Oreochromis niloticus: one gene and its partner. The protein of the gene in region 1 interacts with the protein of each later gene in a pairwise test. Links are inferred from orthologs where the notes say so. Each region holds a gene or a part of one and is shown on either strand. Other genes may lie near its edges.

Region 1 (7,756 bases):
TTTATATTTATTCAAACTGTATTTTTTTTTAAGACATATTTAAGGGCCATGTTTAATGTTTTGTTACTGTAACACATGAATTTTCTAACTTCTGGAATAAATAAAAATAAAAGCTATAGAGCTGCAGGGCTCGCAAAATCGCTAGCTCGACGTCCCGGGGCTAGCGATTTTTCCAGTCGGGCTACCAAAATCTATCTCAGCCCTGCCCGTCGGGCTATCATAGGAAGGGAAAATATGTGTCAATGCTTTTGCATTCTTTCGAAAATGTAGCTGAGTAATTATGTCATCGGCATCGATGAGCCACTGCCAATATGTGACATATTGAAATCGCGTTTGAATTTGTGCTTGTTTTTTGCTTTCACTTTCACTTTGCGATCGCGCGAACGGTGTATAGAGAGCGGCAGCACTGATTGGTGAGTGACGATTGCGCACCAATTCCTCTGACATCGTCTTATCACTCATTAGCTTACTATTCAAACGTGACAAGTGAAATCTCCCACAGCAAGTTTAAACATGTGAGAGGTTGATTGCGCAGAGAATCGCTGACCGTTATGCAAGTACGTGTGTAAAAGCAGCAGGACTTACGCCGGTATTTTAGTTCTGCTGAGCCAAATAAGACAGGTCAGGGTGAAGAAGGGGCAGCCAAATAAAAGCCTACCACAAAACGGAAACGTTATGACAAATCAGACTAGGAGGCAAAAAGAAAGCTCAGCTTTTTTGGTTTCATGGACAAAATAATTTCTGTGGCTGGAATATGACGAGCTAAATAACATGATGTTCTGCCAGGTGTGTTGTGAGTTTCATTTCATTTGAGTCGACAAGCGCCTTTATAACTGGGACCAGTAATTTTAAGAAAGACCCCATCAGAACCCATGAGAATGCATTATTGCTCAGTCTGCAATATCTTTCCCAGAACAAACAGCAATTGCAAAAAACATACTAAAAATAAACCAAGCACAAGCAGAAGTCCTGAAAAATCTTTCAAAAGCGTACTATGTTGCAAAGAGTGAACTACCATTGTCAAAATTTAGCAGTCTTTGCAAACTTCAAAAAGCAAATGGCCTAGATCTTGGTTCCACTCACCCCTTACCCGTGACTTCAGTGGAAATTTCAGATTCAGGATCTGACACAGACTGATTCATGTTCTACACAGTTCTTACAAGTTCATAGAAATTTCTGTTCAATTAGAACCAAGTATTTGAGTTGATGACTGTGATTTTTATACAGTTGTTGTGATTTGTATTTTAACAACTTTCTGATTAATTTTTGTTTCCGTTACAATATTATACTTTAATGTATAGTATTGTAAAGGAAACAAAACATTAAAAAATTGCTCTCTTTTTTATTCGGGCTACTTAAATTTATTTTGGGCTACCAAAAACTGAAGAGGGCCTGCCCGAAGGGCCACCAGAGATTTTGAAATTTTGCGAGCCTTGAGCTAAGGTTAATATATATTTTTTATTAATCACAAGCAAGAGAGATTTTTCCTTTTATACAAATCATGGAGAAATATAAGCAAAGCTGTCTCTATTTCCTGTATTTCGCTTTTACACTAAATAAACAAAAACTTTTTTCTTAAAAATATCTGACTGGCTCAGGCTACAACAACCAAACAAGTAAACAATTAACCTACACTACAATTACATTACTAGTAGCTAACTATCACATAAATATACAACATTCAAACCCAGTACCTGTATTTGGCACCGAAGAGGCACTTGTTGAGCCGATACTGTTGGCCCGGGACACAATAGTGCCCTTTCTGATTGCTTCAGAAATATAACCTAGACAGCAAGACAGCAGTGATCAAACATAATCCACAACAAAATCAAAATATATTTTGATATACATCTATAATCGGTATCATGTGGGAGATCAGATTACACTGGTGATGAAGTACAACACAAGAACTGACTGAATACTCACTGTTGTCAAAGCCACCATCACTGAAAGCACCATCGGTCTGCCGAGCCATCACGAGAGAGCAGAAGATAGAAAAAGGCAAAAAATAAGAGGCTGTAAAGCTAATAACAAGGGAAAACGCTGTGCTGCCCTACATTTGTTTGACAAAAGACCAATAGCCAGCCAGTTAAGCCCCCACTGAGCATTGCCCTGATTTGTCCAGTTCAGGAAAACAGGTGGGTAAAAAGCTGCAGAAAATAAGAGCCTTCATCACAGAGCTATTGTTTGATGTAGGGCACAGCTGTCTAATTTGTGGTTTCCAAAGTCTCAAAAGCTCAGGAGGGGAAAAAATGAATATATGTTAAGTTTGAACAACAGATCCTACTACACGTTTACTTACGTACTGTAAAATTACTATTCCCTATTTATTTTAGAGACATTTTTTTTTTTAATGGGGGCCCTGAACATATGTTAATTATTATTAATTATTTTCTTTGTTTTATTTGGCTAAACGTCTTTATTAAGGAGTCTGTGGAACGAAGACCATTTCAATTTCTGTGGTGTGCTAATTAATTATATATAGTGTAAAACAGACAAGGTAATGTGAGCTTCACAAACACTGATGCTGCACTTATAGATTTGCAAGAAACAAGCAGCTACTCTGACCTTTTTTCTTTTTTACCTTTTTGCGTGTGTAGATGAAGACTTACTGTATACACCATAGGGGGAACAATGGCTGCTTTGTTTACATAAGTAGGCAATTGGCTAGCTAACCAATACAGCTTTCTAACATTATCAAAACCTCGGAAGCTAACGTTAGTTAGCCACGAAGCTAACAAACCGTGTACCCCCTGCACTTTACTAAAGCTTCAACTTTAAGACAACACAGCTTTTGTCATTTGCCAGTGCTGCCATACACATGAGTCATCTGAACCCGAAATAGAGGTTTCTGATAGCAGTTACTCACTTTCCACTGGTCCTCTGGAGATGTTGTCGGGTCCGTCATTTTGGAATGCGACGGATTTCTTCTTCTGTGCACCACGGTAGTAAATTGTATCTGTTCATGATAAACGCCACCCCATGGTTTGGAAGGATTACTGCAGTAACTGACCGCATAAAATGTAGGTTTTATGTCACAGAAAGACTGTATTAAAAAGAAAAGAAAAAATAAACAGAAGGCGTACATAGTATGAGAGAAAAACTAAAATTATTTTTTTTATCAGTTCTTTGTCTCTTAAACACTTAAATAAATCTGCTTTCTTTCAGCTGCTCTTGAATCTTGCTCATCATGGCCAGTGAAAATCTTCAACTCTGCCACCTCCAGGTCTGCGTATCTCTTTTTTTAGTGATAGCATTTCCTAACCATACATCATCTCATTCTTGCGGCTATCTTCCTGTAACAAATTACCCTTGACACTCGTCTCAATCCTCTCCATCCTGCATGCATTCTCTTCTTCAGCTATCTTGTGTACCTACTGTTGCTTTACAAGAAAAACTCCAAGTATTTAAACTCACTTTACTTCAATACCTCTGCTACTTGCGTCTCCACTGTTACACCTGTAAGGAAATGATTAGCTTTATCGTTTTGATGATTTTTTCCCAGCATTTTCCTGATGTCTAAACACATCTCCAATCTTCTCTTTTGGCAGCAGTAAAGGAATCTTTATCTTGATCTTTTCATTTTACTCAGCTGATAACACTGTTGCCTTCCAGTGAGTCTCAGAAAGCTTTGAAAATGAATATCCTGTTGCATCGGAGCTAATAATTTTCACTTTCTCAAAGAAATGCATCTGTGATAAACTTATTATTCTTTTCCTCAATAGAAATCATTTGTATACACACAGGCTTCGTAAATTACTGAGCCAACGAATGGTAACAAGTTAGTTTTCAGAAACATAACTATCTTAACATTCCCACTGGATAGATCTCACTAGATGCAGTAGTCATCTTTATCCACATAGGGGTGTTGTTTGACAATTCTTGTCATGCTGAAACCACCTTTACCTGTCTGGATTAAACCACCACATGAAGGGAAAACACCAAAACAAATGTAACCGTTGACTCATGGCAAGCTGACATCAGTAAAATGACTAAATCTAGTACAAAAAGGTGGTTTCTTTGTGAAATGTTGCAAAGTTCCCTTTAATTGTGTAGTTGATTTACATCTACATCGACATCTGTTAATCTTACATCAAATCTGGAGTCTGCTCTCCTTCATTCCTGTAGTATCTTTTCTTTATCATCATCCACCTACTGCATGGTTACGTGTAACGGTTACCATGTTTATCTTCCACCATGTCCTCCGCCCCAGGTTCTATAGCTGTCATGCACAGGAAGTTACTCTTCTGCTTTTGTGCTTCTGTGGTTTCTGACTGTGTCACACTCCTCATCTGCCTTCCTCTCACACGCAGGCTTCGGTACTGAACTATTTCAGAGAGTTCTCGGTCAACTAATGTAGACAACAGTGCATGAGGCATAGGCGGACCTTTTTTTCGAGTTCTAACAGGCTCTAACAGGACTTATCACCTCATTTTCAAAAGGAACTTGAAGACAACTTAAGGAGAAGGGGGCCATGAGGACAAACTTTCTTTTTTCATTGCCCACCCTGTCCTCGGGTGTGAGGCGGATTTTGTAAACCTGAGAATTAATGTAGATTGCCCTAGAGGCCCTAGACTTGATTTGATTAGGGCCTTTTTGCTGTTGTAATTCAGAGTGACCATCTTTTGTCACTTTGCTTTTGGATACGCTGATTTCCTGGAGGAAACAGTTTGCGTAAAGCAGTCCCCCTGGATTACTTGTGGAGATTAGTGATGGGGAATGCGGCTGGTGGGGGATTGGAGCATGAACCGGCCGAAGGCCGAGAGGCCAGAAACTCAGTCAGTGCAGCTTCAGCAATGAATGACTCTGCACCAACCTTGCAAAAAAAGCAGCCTCCTCAACCCAAACTTCCCATGCCACCAGAGAAGGAGCTGGAGGAGCGCTTCAACATGGTTCTGGTGAGTGAGAGCATGACACGCCGTGCACCCTTACTCCATATGAAATCATGCAGATTTTGCACAAAGTTTTGGTTTGTAGATGTAAGGGCGATTGTGCAAGTAAGTATGATTAAGAGGATCACAAAAACACATATCAAATCAGCTTTCATTTTACATTGTTACATTGTTAAGGTAATAACCCAAGTTTGAAAGTGACTGATCTTTCACTCTTTGGAAATTTACTTTGCTCTAATATAGACTCCAATATGTACTTTACTTCATTTCTTACACTCTCTAGGTGTATCTAAAGCTATTTGTCAAGTGAGAAGAAAGAGCTGAACGTTAGAAAGATCGTTACACCCTCAGTCAGAGTCTAATGGTCTGTCATTTTGTCCAGTCAAATTTGCACAAATATCATCAGTTACTTAAATTTTCACTTTAGTGATAAAAACAATGACAATCCTGTCAACAAGTTGCCAAATTCTTCATGGTTTGGTTAGAAAAATTCAAACCAGAAACTGCTTGATAAATGCATGCACAACAGCAGGCTGAAATGGGAAGTTGAGCAATGCATTTACATGCCGGAGGCCACAGGACCGGAAAGGAAATGTTTCACCATTCTTTCAACAGTCTCACAACAAGTTAGTAAAGATAAAACTTCAAGTATTACGATCTTTTAGATTATATGTTGCGCAAAATATCAAATCATGATGCTTAGACTATCTTAATCCTGGCTTATTCTTTGACTTTTTTAATGAAAAAATAGAGTTAACTATGAGATTTGTGTTTTGTTTTTTCTTTAGCAATGCTAAGAAAAAAATACAGATCTACAAAAGTGAAACAAAGACACTAACAGTCATGTTAATCTGACATAGCTTAGCCAGTAACATCAATGAGTTAAGAGTTTTACTTTTTCAAGGCTCAAGTTCTCCAGATTTTTACATCTAAATAGTTCAGTTTGTTCTACAATGTTCTCATTTTTAATTTTCTATAATGTCTGGCATTGTGGTTTATGTGGTAGATGATTTACAGCATTAAGTGTCCAGATATACATTTTAACCACACTCATTAAAACCACTAGTCTGGAAGTGGGCACATCTAGTTAAAGCCACCGAAGATTCTTTGACCTGTCAACCCCTGAGGCTGTCCTGCCGCTGAACATCTGGATGTTGGTATCAAATCCTTTGAGACCCATGAGTTGTAGGGTGTGGCTTCTATGAGTCTGGCTTATACCACAGAGGAAAGCACCTGCCTGCTATTAATAATAATATTATGTCACAAAGTTTAGGATGGTACTTTAACATAGGCTTTCCCAACAAAACATTAAATTACAAAAGCAGGATCAGTGTTATTCAGAGCAGTTGTAAATGGGTTTTAACCTTTCAAGCAAATATTTAGCATACATAAAAATGTAGTGTATGTAAAAAAAAATAATGATTTTGTGTTTTTGTAGAAGGTGGGGTGCAATTAGAAAGTTATTTTTTACGTAGTAAAAAACAAACACTTTACACAGCAAATATAAATCCATGCAACTATTCCAACTAAAACTATTTGTCTTTTCTCAAAAATGACATTGATTGGAACAGCATACCATGATTATTCTAAAAACAAGTCAAAATTCACGCCATATCTGCTTCATATGACAAACCTTGAATGGAAACATTATAATTTCATGCAAGATAATGAAGTTTAGAGCCAGGGTTAACAGTTCATTAATATCTACACAAAATGTGCTCTCCGGAAAATGACAACACCCTCTCAAGTGTCTTCCTTCTTCAGTAAAATACTTGTCACTTGTCAAACCTCAGTCTAGAGATTATATTGTTGACGTCACCAACAAGGAAACGAGAAGTGAACCTTCTTTTTTTTTTGCATTACTGAAAAATGTGAGTACTTTTTATTTTTGAGTAACTAAATCAGAAGCTATAAACTTCATAATGCAAGGCACTCACATTACCTTTTTTTTAAGTACCACAAAACCACAGTAAGACCTCTCCCTTACATCAGCCAAGGAAGGAGCCTCATTTCGAGCACCAACACATCAGATCATTTCCGTTTTCACTCCTCCCTTTTTAAAGAAAAAAGTGCACAGAAGATGTCAAACCGCTGCTTGAATGTACACAAAACTAGATTAAAAAGCCACACCCAACATCAACTGAAATTATTTAAACTTACTGTAAATGGTCACATTGATTTAAGCTTTTGATCAGCTAAAAAAATAGTACCAGTGCAGTACCAGCTGCAGTAATGTGAGAGAGGACTGTGAAAAAAATATCTTTAAGCAAAACATAAATAATTACAGGGAATTAGTGATCAAAGAAAACAAGTTAATTTTGTGAGTGAAGCCTTTTTCCTTGACGCAGGGGCGTAATTTCCAGGGGGGTTAGGGGGTTATGACCCCCCCAATAATCAGACTCAACCAATATAACCCCCCCAATAAAATTATGAATTATCTTGCATAAATAGGCTGTTAATTTTCTTTACTCATTTCAGTTATTACCAGCAAAATAGTTGCATGTTTAATCATCTGGGAATTTACCCAGATTTATTTATTTAGACAGAGATCTTGACCCCCACCCCAATGTTCAGCAGAAAGTTACGCCGATGCCTTGACGTATCTTATTCCTTTTAATTTGACCTTTTTTTTAAAAATAACAACCTCCGCTCATTCAGTTTCTGTGAATGGGGAAATAACGTTTACACATGACATGTCTCTGTAGGTTTGATAACTCAGTGTGAAACTGTCCCTTTTGGACAGTAATATGCCAACTCGAAATTCAACCTACACTGGAATCATGGAGGTGGAGGATACTTGGTCTGTATAAAGGTCTTTATGATATTCAGAAAATAACAGAAATATTATGAGCAGTTTATGACCG
Region 2 (7,324 bases), on another chromosome or scaffold:
CAAATTGCTTCTTTCACTCTGATTAGGTGTGATAACCCATCCTGCAGCCATCACTGTGCTCCTTTTGCAGGTCTCCCCGACGTCATCGATCCTCCTCCCTCTCTCCTTCGAGACAAAAGGAGAGACGAGATGATGAGCGCAAAGACTCAAAGGAAAAGACGGCAAAGCCCATTCAGATCTCAGGTATCAGACATTATCTATACACTCGCACATTAAGCAGGAATCTTAGTTTTTCAGACAGTTTGTAGTAGCAGAGACTAAATTCAATGTTTTTTGTTTTTTAAATAGCGGAGGACATGCAGGGCAAAACGGAGGAGGAGATTGAGATGATGAAGCTTATGGGATTTGGTTCCTTTGATACCAGCAAGGTGAGAGTTGTTCTATGTGTTATGCAGCCACAAGGGGGTGCAGTTTATTTCTAATAAAGTTCACAACACACACACACACACACACACATTATGTTTGCATTTATTTCAGTGGATTGAAATGGAACTTCCAAAAGCACATTGGCACTGATGAAATCTATTAGAGCAGCTGCTGTATAAAGCAGGTTGCTCTTGTTTAAATAAAGGGGACATTTTTCACGTTTTTCCCTTGACTCTTTCTATTTAGGGGAATACTGTTGTTTTTGAGTTATGGTTCTTTTTTTTCACCCCCGCTTATCTGTTAACCCTTTTAAACCGCACGGGAGCGTGCACGCTCCAATTTGCGTAACTATTTTTAAATCCCTATTATATTTTCGTTTTTGCTGCAGGTTGTAAAAATGAGTGTATTTCAAAAATGAAATTATAAAGACACTCAAAATAAATTTCCTGTGGCTGGGAACTATTTTGTGGAACTTTGCATTTACAGTTTTGAGGGATATACCTCTGAAGTTTCTGTAAATAGAAAAAAGTTTAAAAAACAATTTTCAATTTCTTTTTTTAGTTTATTGCACATTTTTGGTATTTATGTAGTTACTATGGACATATTGCATATGTATGATTTAAATTTAGGATAAAAGGATCTTATTGATGTATAACAAGTGGAAATGCTCCAAAAAATGGCACTACAGCATGTAAAAATGTAAAGATAAGCTCAGGCAGACTTGGTTCTATGGTGGGCTTAAAACGGTTAAATATTGACATAATTGACATATACTGACATGTTTGTACATGAATGTAGAGCAGCTTTCACATGACAGCAAGCCCTCCATGGCTAATGTAAGTTTGCAATACTGTGCAAGAGTTTTGAGCCACTCTCATTTATTTTGCTTCCATAACGAGCAGTGTTGGGTCCACACATAACAGACAGTTTGGCAAAGAAACAGTTTAAAATCCTATCTTTAGAGACTTTTGTTGCTAATAGCCTGTCACAGTATGTAAAAGTTATATCCTTTTGAAGTAGGAACAAATCCAGCAAAGACCTGGCACAGGGAAGCATCTGGCCCTTCAGGTGGTCATCTACTGTTCACTGAAGCCTCATCAAAAATAGTGTCAGTGGAAAGGTGAAGCTACTCTTAAGGAAGAATAAAAGGGAGAAAAGGCTGAAGTGTTCCAAATTACACAAGAACTGAACTGAAAATCGGTGGTAACAAGTCTTAGACATGATAAATCAAAATGTGAGTTTTTTGGTTCAGATTTTCTTAATATGTATGCAGGAGGTCAAGACAGAGGTACAACACTGAGTGTCTGCAGCAGTCTAAAACAGACGGTGAAGACTCTGTCATGGTTTGGGGCTGCACTTCAAGCAGTGCTGTTCAGTATGAACACAGAAAAGTACCATCATTTTAATCAACCATGCAATAACATCTGGAAAGCATCTGACTGGCAAGGGTTTTATTGTTCAGCATGACCCAGTCACACTGCCAAAGCAGTAAAAGCACACCTGGTTAGCCGAGCTTCAACATTATTGAAGCAACGTGGGATCATCTTGACAGAAAATAGAATAACAGGCACATTAAAAGAGCTTCGAATCTCCCTCAAGGAGCCTGGCGAACTATTCCAGAACACTACTTAAAGACAAAAAAAAGTCATACCAAATATTGACTCTCAGCTTGTTAGAATTATACTGCATTTTCATCTATGTTTACACAATTCAGTAAGTCACAGCACTGTAGCTGTCTAAGATTCTGAATGAAAAGTTGAGATTATAATCTTAAATTATGGCTAGCTGTTGAAATTGTTAGCTATAAGAATAGATTAACATTCTAAATGCTATGAAACCTGTCTATTATGAAAATGATCAAAAGTGGGGAAAATAAATGGATAGACTTAAAGTAATCACTAAACAAAGAATAGCAGTTACAAGAAGTGGACGAATAGTTGCAATTATAAACTAATAGTTATGGTTGTGCACACTGTTTATCCAATAAGAGTTGGTAAACTTAATCTAATCACAAAGAGCAAACAGTGGGTTGAAAAGGGTCACTTCAAAAATCAGTCCCATTGAACACTAGCAGTGTTATTGTTGATAAAGAGGTTCCTCTGACAGGCCACTGGGTTTGTCCTATTAACAAAACAAAACAGTTTTCCGTTGATCAAAATCCTTCAGTTCTGTGAAATGCATATTTAGAGAATTCCAACTGCTATCATGAGCTTGACCCAATTCAGCTTCACCTGTTCACTGTCATGTTTAGCTAAGAATGTTTTTTTTTGTATTTTTTTTTAAGTTTGCTTTGTAATATGTCATGCAGTAACATTATTTTTACACAGGGGAAGAAGACCGATGGCTCAAGTAACGCGTATGCCGTCAATGTGACCATGAAGAGAAAATACAGGTAGGTCATCGAACACAAAACAAGCGTTTGTAGTTGATCAGCTGTGCCGTCGGTACAGTGCAGCACATCTCTTTGGATATTTCATAAGCTTTCCTTTTGTTAGTGACGGATCCTTTTTAAAGTTACTTTTGGAGCCCCAGCTGTTACTCATGTTGCTGAATTACGTCAATTTTTCTGCCCCCTCTTCACAGTGTGCACTCTCAGCATCTATCACTGTTAAAGTAGCCAATCACCTCCGCAGGTGTTTCTATGCAGAGATGCCAGCGCTCCCATTGGTGCTCGATGATGTAATCTGTGTGTGTTGGGAGGGAAACAGTGATATAATGTTTTCTTATATATTTATTTTACAGGCAGTACATGAACAGAAAAGGTGGATTTAACAGGCCGCTGGACTTCATTGCTTGAAAGTATCTCAACTCCAATGTTCCCCAAGAAGTTTACCTGTGTGTACCCTCCCTTCCCTCTACCCTTATGAATAGATGGCATGTTCAGTATCCTATGTGGTTTGTGTGATTTAACAGTCGTGTATATACCTTTTTATAAACGAATGCATACATGTAAATAGTAGTACCTGCAAGATGTACTCACAACTGGGTGAGACTGAGCTTAATATTGTTGACATGGATGATTTATTTGAAATAAAAGCATTTAAAAAACATGCTTTCTGTCCTGATTATGAAAATGCATTTATTAAAATGCCTATGCACTAATTAAATATCCATCCACCAGGTTGTGCAGGAACACTCTTTCTTTTGAAATAATGGCTAAATATGACATTATTCATTGTCCCTTTTAAGGATTGAATAGGATCAGATTGGTTATTCCTGTGAATGCTTGCGTTTCTTTCTAGTTTAAATATAGCATAATCTCATTTGGTGTTCTCTGAGAAATGTATCCTATAGGATTGTTTCAAATCCAGGTTTAAATTCAGACCTAACTAAAGGCTGCTAAGAAACCTTTCCTGGGGTGGTATATGTTCAAGTCCAGGGTTTATCGTGCTCTAAAATAATGATCCCTCTCATTTTGAAGCAAGCTTTTAAATGTTTCATACTAGATTGGATCAGCTTTGCTGTCTGACAGAACCGACCCACCAAAATAACCAATCCCCGTACTTGTCCTTAACCCAACCACCAATCATAAGCGAGCATCCCTCCGGCAGATCCAATCTAGCGCCGAGCCTTTTAAAGCCATTATGGATCAGAAAGCAACAAGCGGACGCATGCGCGCAGATATTTTGTGACGGAGAAGAAGGAGACCAATGATAAGAGGTCATGTGAATTCGACCAATCATGTATCGCAAAATTTATTAAATGACACAACGGGAGCCAATCGCTGCCATACACCGAGAAACAGCATGGCAGAGAGGCGTGTTGATTGTCAAAAGCGGGCGTTGTCAGATAAGCTCGTGCGCACTAGGGCCAATAGCTGTCAAGTTTATAGAAAAAAACAACCAATTACTGTGTACAAGTGTATAGCGCAGAAACTGTCTCCATTGTGGCTGTACATGGTGTATTTCAGCCAATGTTAATTAGAACCAAAATGGCTGCTTAAGGTCCACAGTTGAAGTAAGCGCTGAACCCTCTTCTGCAATTGACGGTTTTAACGCCGAATAGGAGCTTGAGAGGTTATACTCAGTATCCAATCACACTGCAGCACCCAGAATCTTTGTACAATACAGTAGAGAGCTGGTGTCCAGATCAACAAGCCACTATTTTGGAAGCTGTTTGACAAACAGTCACTGTTCTTCAGTTGATGTCAGTCGCTATCGGCGTTTCCAGCAAGACGTATCGCGCGTTAAACCGGCGCAAAACTAACCAGCCACAGCTCTAAACCGAAAAGGTTGGATGACATCGTCGGCTGAACTTTATATCAGATAGCTCTTTTTTTATATAAATAAATTTCACAAGGCAAGTGTCTAGCAACTGTAGATGCTAACGTTCTTTTTTCACTGGCCGAAGCTTTTCCAAATACAACACAGATAGCAAGAACTTTCCATATTTAATTTGACAGCTTGACATTGGCGCTAACGTTAGCCAGCCTTTTTTTTTTTCGCCAAATAGAGCAATTCGCGGATTATTTTTGTATGTTACACAGCCTTTCGTTTTGTTTGTATCAACAAGCCGTCTTTTCTCGAAGAGCCACCTATAAAGCTGACGATATTTAGCTGACATTTTGACTTAAAGGGGAACAAAGTAACCTTAGCTCCTGAAGAAGTGTTATTAGTGTCAGCCCTCACTAGCCAGCTAACACCATATCCTTAATTTAACAACCACGGAGGAAGTTTGGCTTTTCGAACTGACTGGTGCTGCATTCAAGGCCTTTAACTTTTAAATATCCAGATTGACAGTGAAGGAGCAACTCTGTAACGCTCTCTCTGGCTCTTTAAAAATAATAACTGACAGAACAGCGAGCTCCCTAAGTGTGAAAAAGAAGCAGGAGCCTGAAGCAGTCTGTGTACAGCCACGGAATTCCTTTTCGGATTGTTAAATTATCAGTGTTATTGTTTAAAATGGCGGCGATCGGAATGGTGCAGATGTTGATCGAAGCAGCCGAGTACCTTGATCGCAGGGAACGAGGTAAAGTATCATTGTATTCTTTTCTACTCTCTTTTCTTATTCACCCTGTGCAATATAACATTAACACCCCTCCCCCTCCGAATCACTCGGATTTATGCACACGTCGTTTGATGCTTTCCCAAATCCTGTTGCTTCCTATTAATACTCTTATTACATCAAACAATCAGGCCATGAAATAAATTCATAAATGTCGAATTTCACGCATCGATTCAGCAGGGTGCATCACCTGCCCCAAACAGGTGCTAATAAATATGTGATTACAGGCGCATAATGCATACGTGTAAAGACAAACGGGCATTTGCATTGGCGATATTGAAAGAATGAATGCATATGTGGCAGATGTGCAGGGAGACATTGTTTTCGTGGGCGCCCCTCCTTTCCTTCTGTTGTGGTTTGCTAGTGGGGTTTATTCTAGTTCATGATGACATCATTGTCCATCCCGAGGAAGGGGGAAAAGGCTAAAAGATACTACTTGAGACCCATTCCCTGCATGCCTGCTAAAAAGCATTAGCCATTGCTGCGGGATGCCAAAAACTAAAGCTGAAATGTGGCACGTTGTGCAGTCTGTACTTCTGTTCACTGTGGCTATATTTTGCATTGCAGGATTTCAGGACATGTGACCACTATGTTGTTTACTTGCTTGCAGAAGCTGAACATGGCTATGCCTCAATGCCGCCGTTCATCAGCAGCCGGGAGAGGGAAAGTTTGAAAAGGAAAAGCAAAAGCAAGAAAAACACAAGTAGCAGGTAAAGGCAAAACTGTACATGCCTGATTGTTTTCCTGCTCTGCGACAAGTCGCCCATCACATCCCCACTTCAGGGGTCTCCCCCCACCTCCCCCCTCCCCTCCTCTTCCCGTCCTCACTTCTTGAAGGATTAAGCCATTCTTCATCACACTGGTGTTTGTGTTTCAAGTCAAAATCCTTATTTGGTGCTTGTGATGTGAGGCTTGTTTTTTAATTTTGTAATTTTTTTTAATGCATTTTCGTACTGTGCTTCCAGGTGGACACGCTAACTGCCCAAATTTAAAATGGTAGGAAGTGCAGTGAGGTCAGAGATAGCAGCCTGGTCCCTATTTGCATAATTTGTTACATTCACAGCAACGCTGTTGAAACAGCGACTTTGTGCTCTTGGCCAAACATGGTCACAATCAAACATCCAAAGCTTTGAATAGGGTTATGACTGCGAGACGCTACCTTGTTGTTTTGACATCAAATAGTGACCAGGTCAGACATACTGTTACAAACACCCATCTAATTGCAAAGAAAAGACAGACAGACTAGGCCAATTTTATAATCAAAATAACATGTTAATGCCTCTTAAGTAATATATCTGCAAAAAATATGACATGATTCCTGTCTCATCATGTTTCTCGCTGATGAGAGCTTATTAGAAGCCTTCGGTTTGTTACAGAGCATAAGTCAGCTCTCTGATCTTCCACTGTAAGCTATTGATACGGTTAGCTTCTGATCACCATATCTGCATTTTGGACATTTCTTTTCACTTTAAGATATTATGTTAAATGAAGAATAGAACATAAGATTATGAATAAATCTATTATCTTTTTATCACTGACTGCTGCAGTGAGAGCACAGCTGATGTCAGCTAATGTTTTAACTCTCAGCATTACCGCCTGCCTGTTGCGTTTTTGGTTTTTTCAATCAACACAAAATCCCACTTTGATGTTATAATAGTTTTTTTTCACGTATGTGTTTTACATGTTCAGTTTTTAGTATACCTAATATAGTGAAAACATCAGCATTTATTTTCTTATTTTTTGAGAGAACAATACTACCTGTAGTCATTTTACTAATGGACAGTGTTCTTATTATTAAAGTTCAGTCATTGGTAACCAGGTGGCCCTTACTGCCTCATGTTAGTTTACCAGCTAGCTTTCAAGTTATGTTGCAGTTTTAGTGATCCTTGAGATCATGCTTCCCCAGAGAGGATCTCTCCCAGGGTTGGACAGACTCCAATTCCACCGTGTACAG

Evidence for each region. The genes of interacting proteins can lie anywhere in the genome.
Region 2: the proteins of mlx (region 1) and mxd1 interact in a two-hybrid assay, tested with the Homo sapiens proteins (2 studies listed by BioGRID and IntAct). The link is inferred for Oreochromis niloticus from reciprocal best matches to the Homo sapiens genes MLX and MXD1.

The regions. Positions count from the first base shown.
Region 1 is NC_031969.2:25,992,376-26,000,131, reverse strand, and holds the start of mlx (max-like protein X), read right to left. Parts: upstream 3,012-7,756; 5' UTR 2,909-3,011; coding exon 2,870-2,908; intron 1,964-2,869; coding exon 1,927-1,963; intron 1,785-1,926; coding exon 1,695-1,784; intron 1-1,694. UniProt on the Homo sapiens protein: Transcription regulator. Forms a sequence-specific DNA-binding protein complex with MAD1, MAD4, MNT, WBSCR14 and MLXIP which recognizes the core sequence 5'-CACGTG-3'. The TCFL4-MAD1, TCFL4-MAD4, TCFL4-WBSCR14 complexes are transcriptional repressors.
Region 2 is NC_031977.2:7,021,219-7,028,542, reverse strand, and holds the start of mxd1 (max dimerization protein 1), read left to right. Parts: upstream 1-4,314; 5' UTR 4,315-5,267; coding exon 5,268-5,334; intron 5,335-5,980; coding exon 5,981-6,080; intron 6,081-7,324. Other genes in the region: snrnp27 (U4/U6.U5 small nuclear ribonucleoprotein 27 kDa protein), read left to right, coding at 71-183, 289-368, 2,694-2,758, 3,109-3,163. UniProt on the Homo sapiens protein: Component of a transcriptional repressor complex together with MAX. In complex with MAX binds to the core DNA sequence 5'-CAC[GA]TG-3'. Antagonizes MYC transcriptional activity by competing with MYC for MAX binding.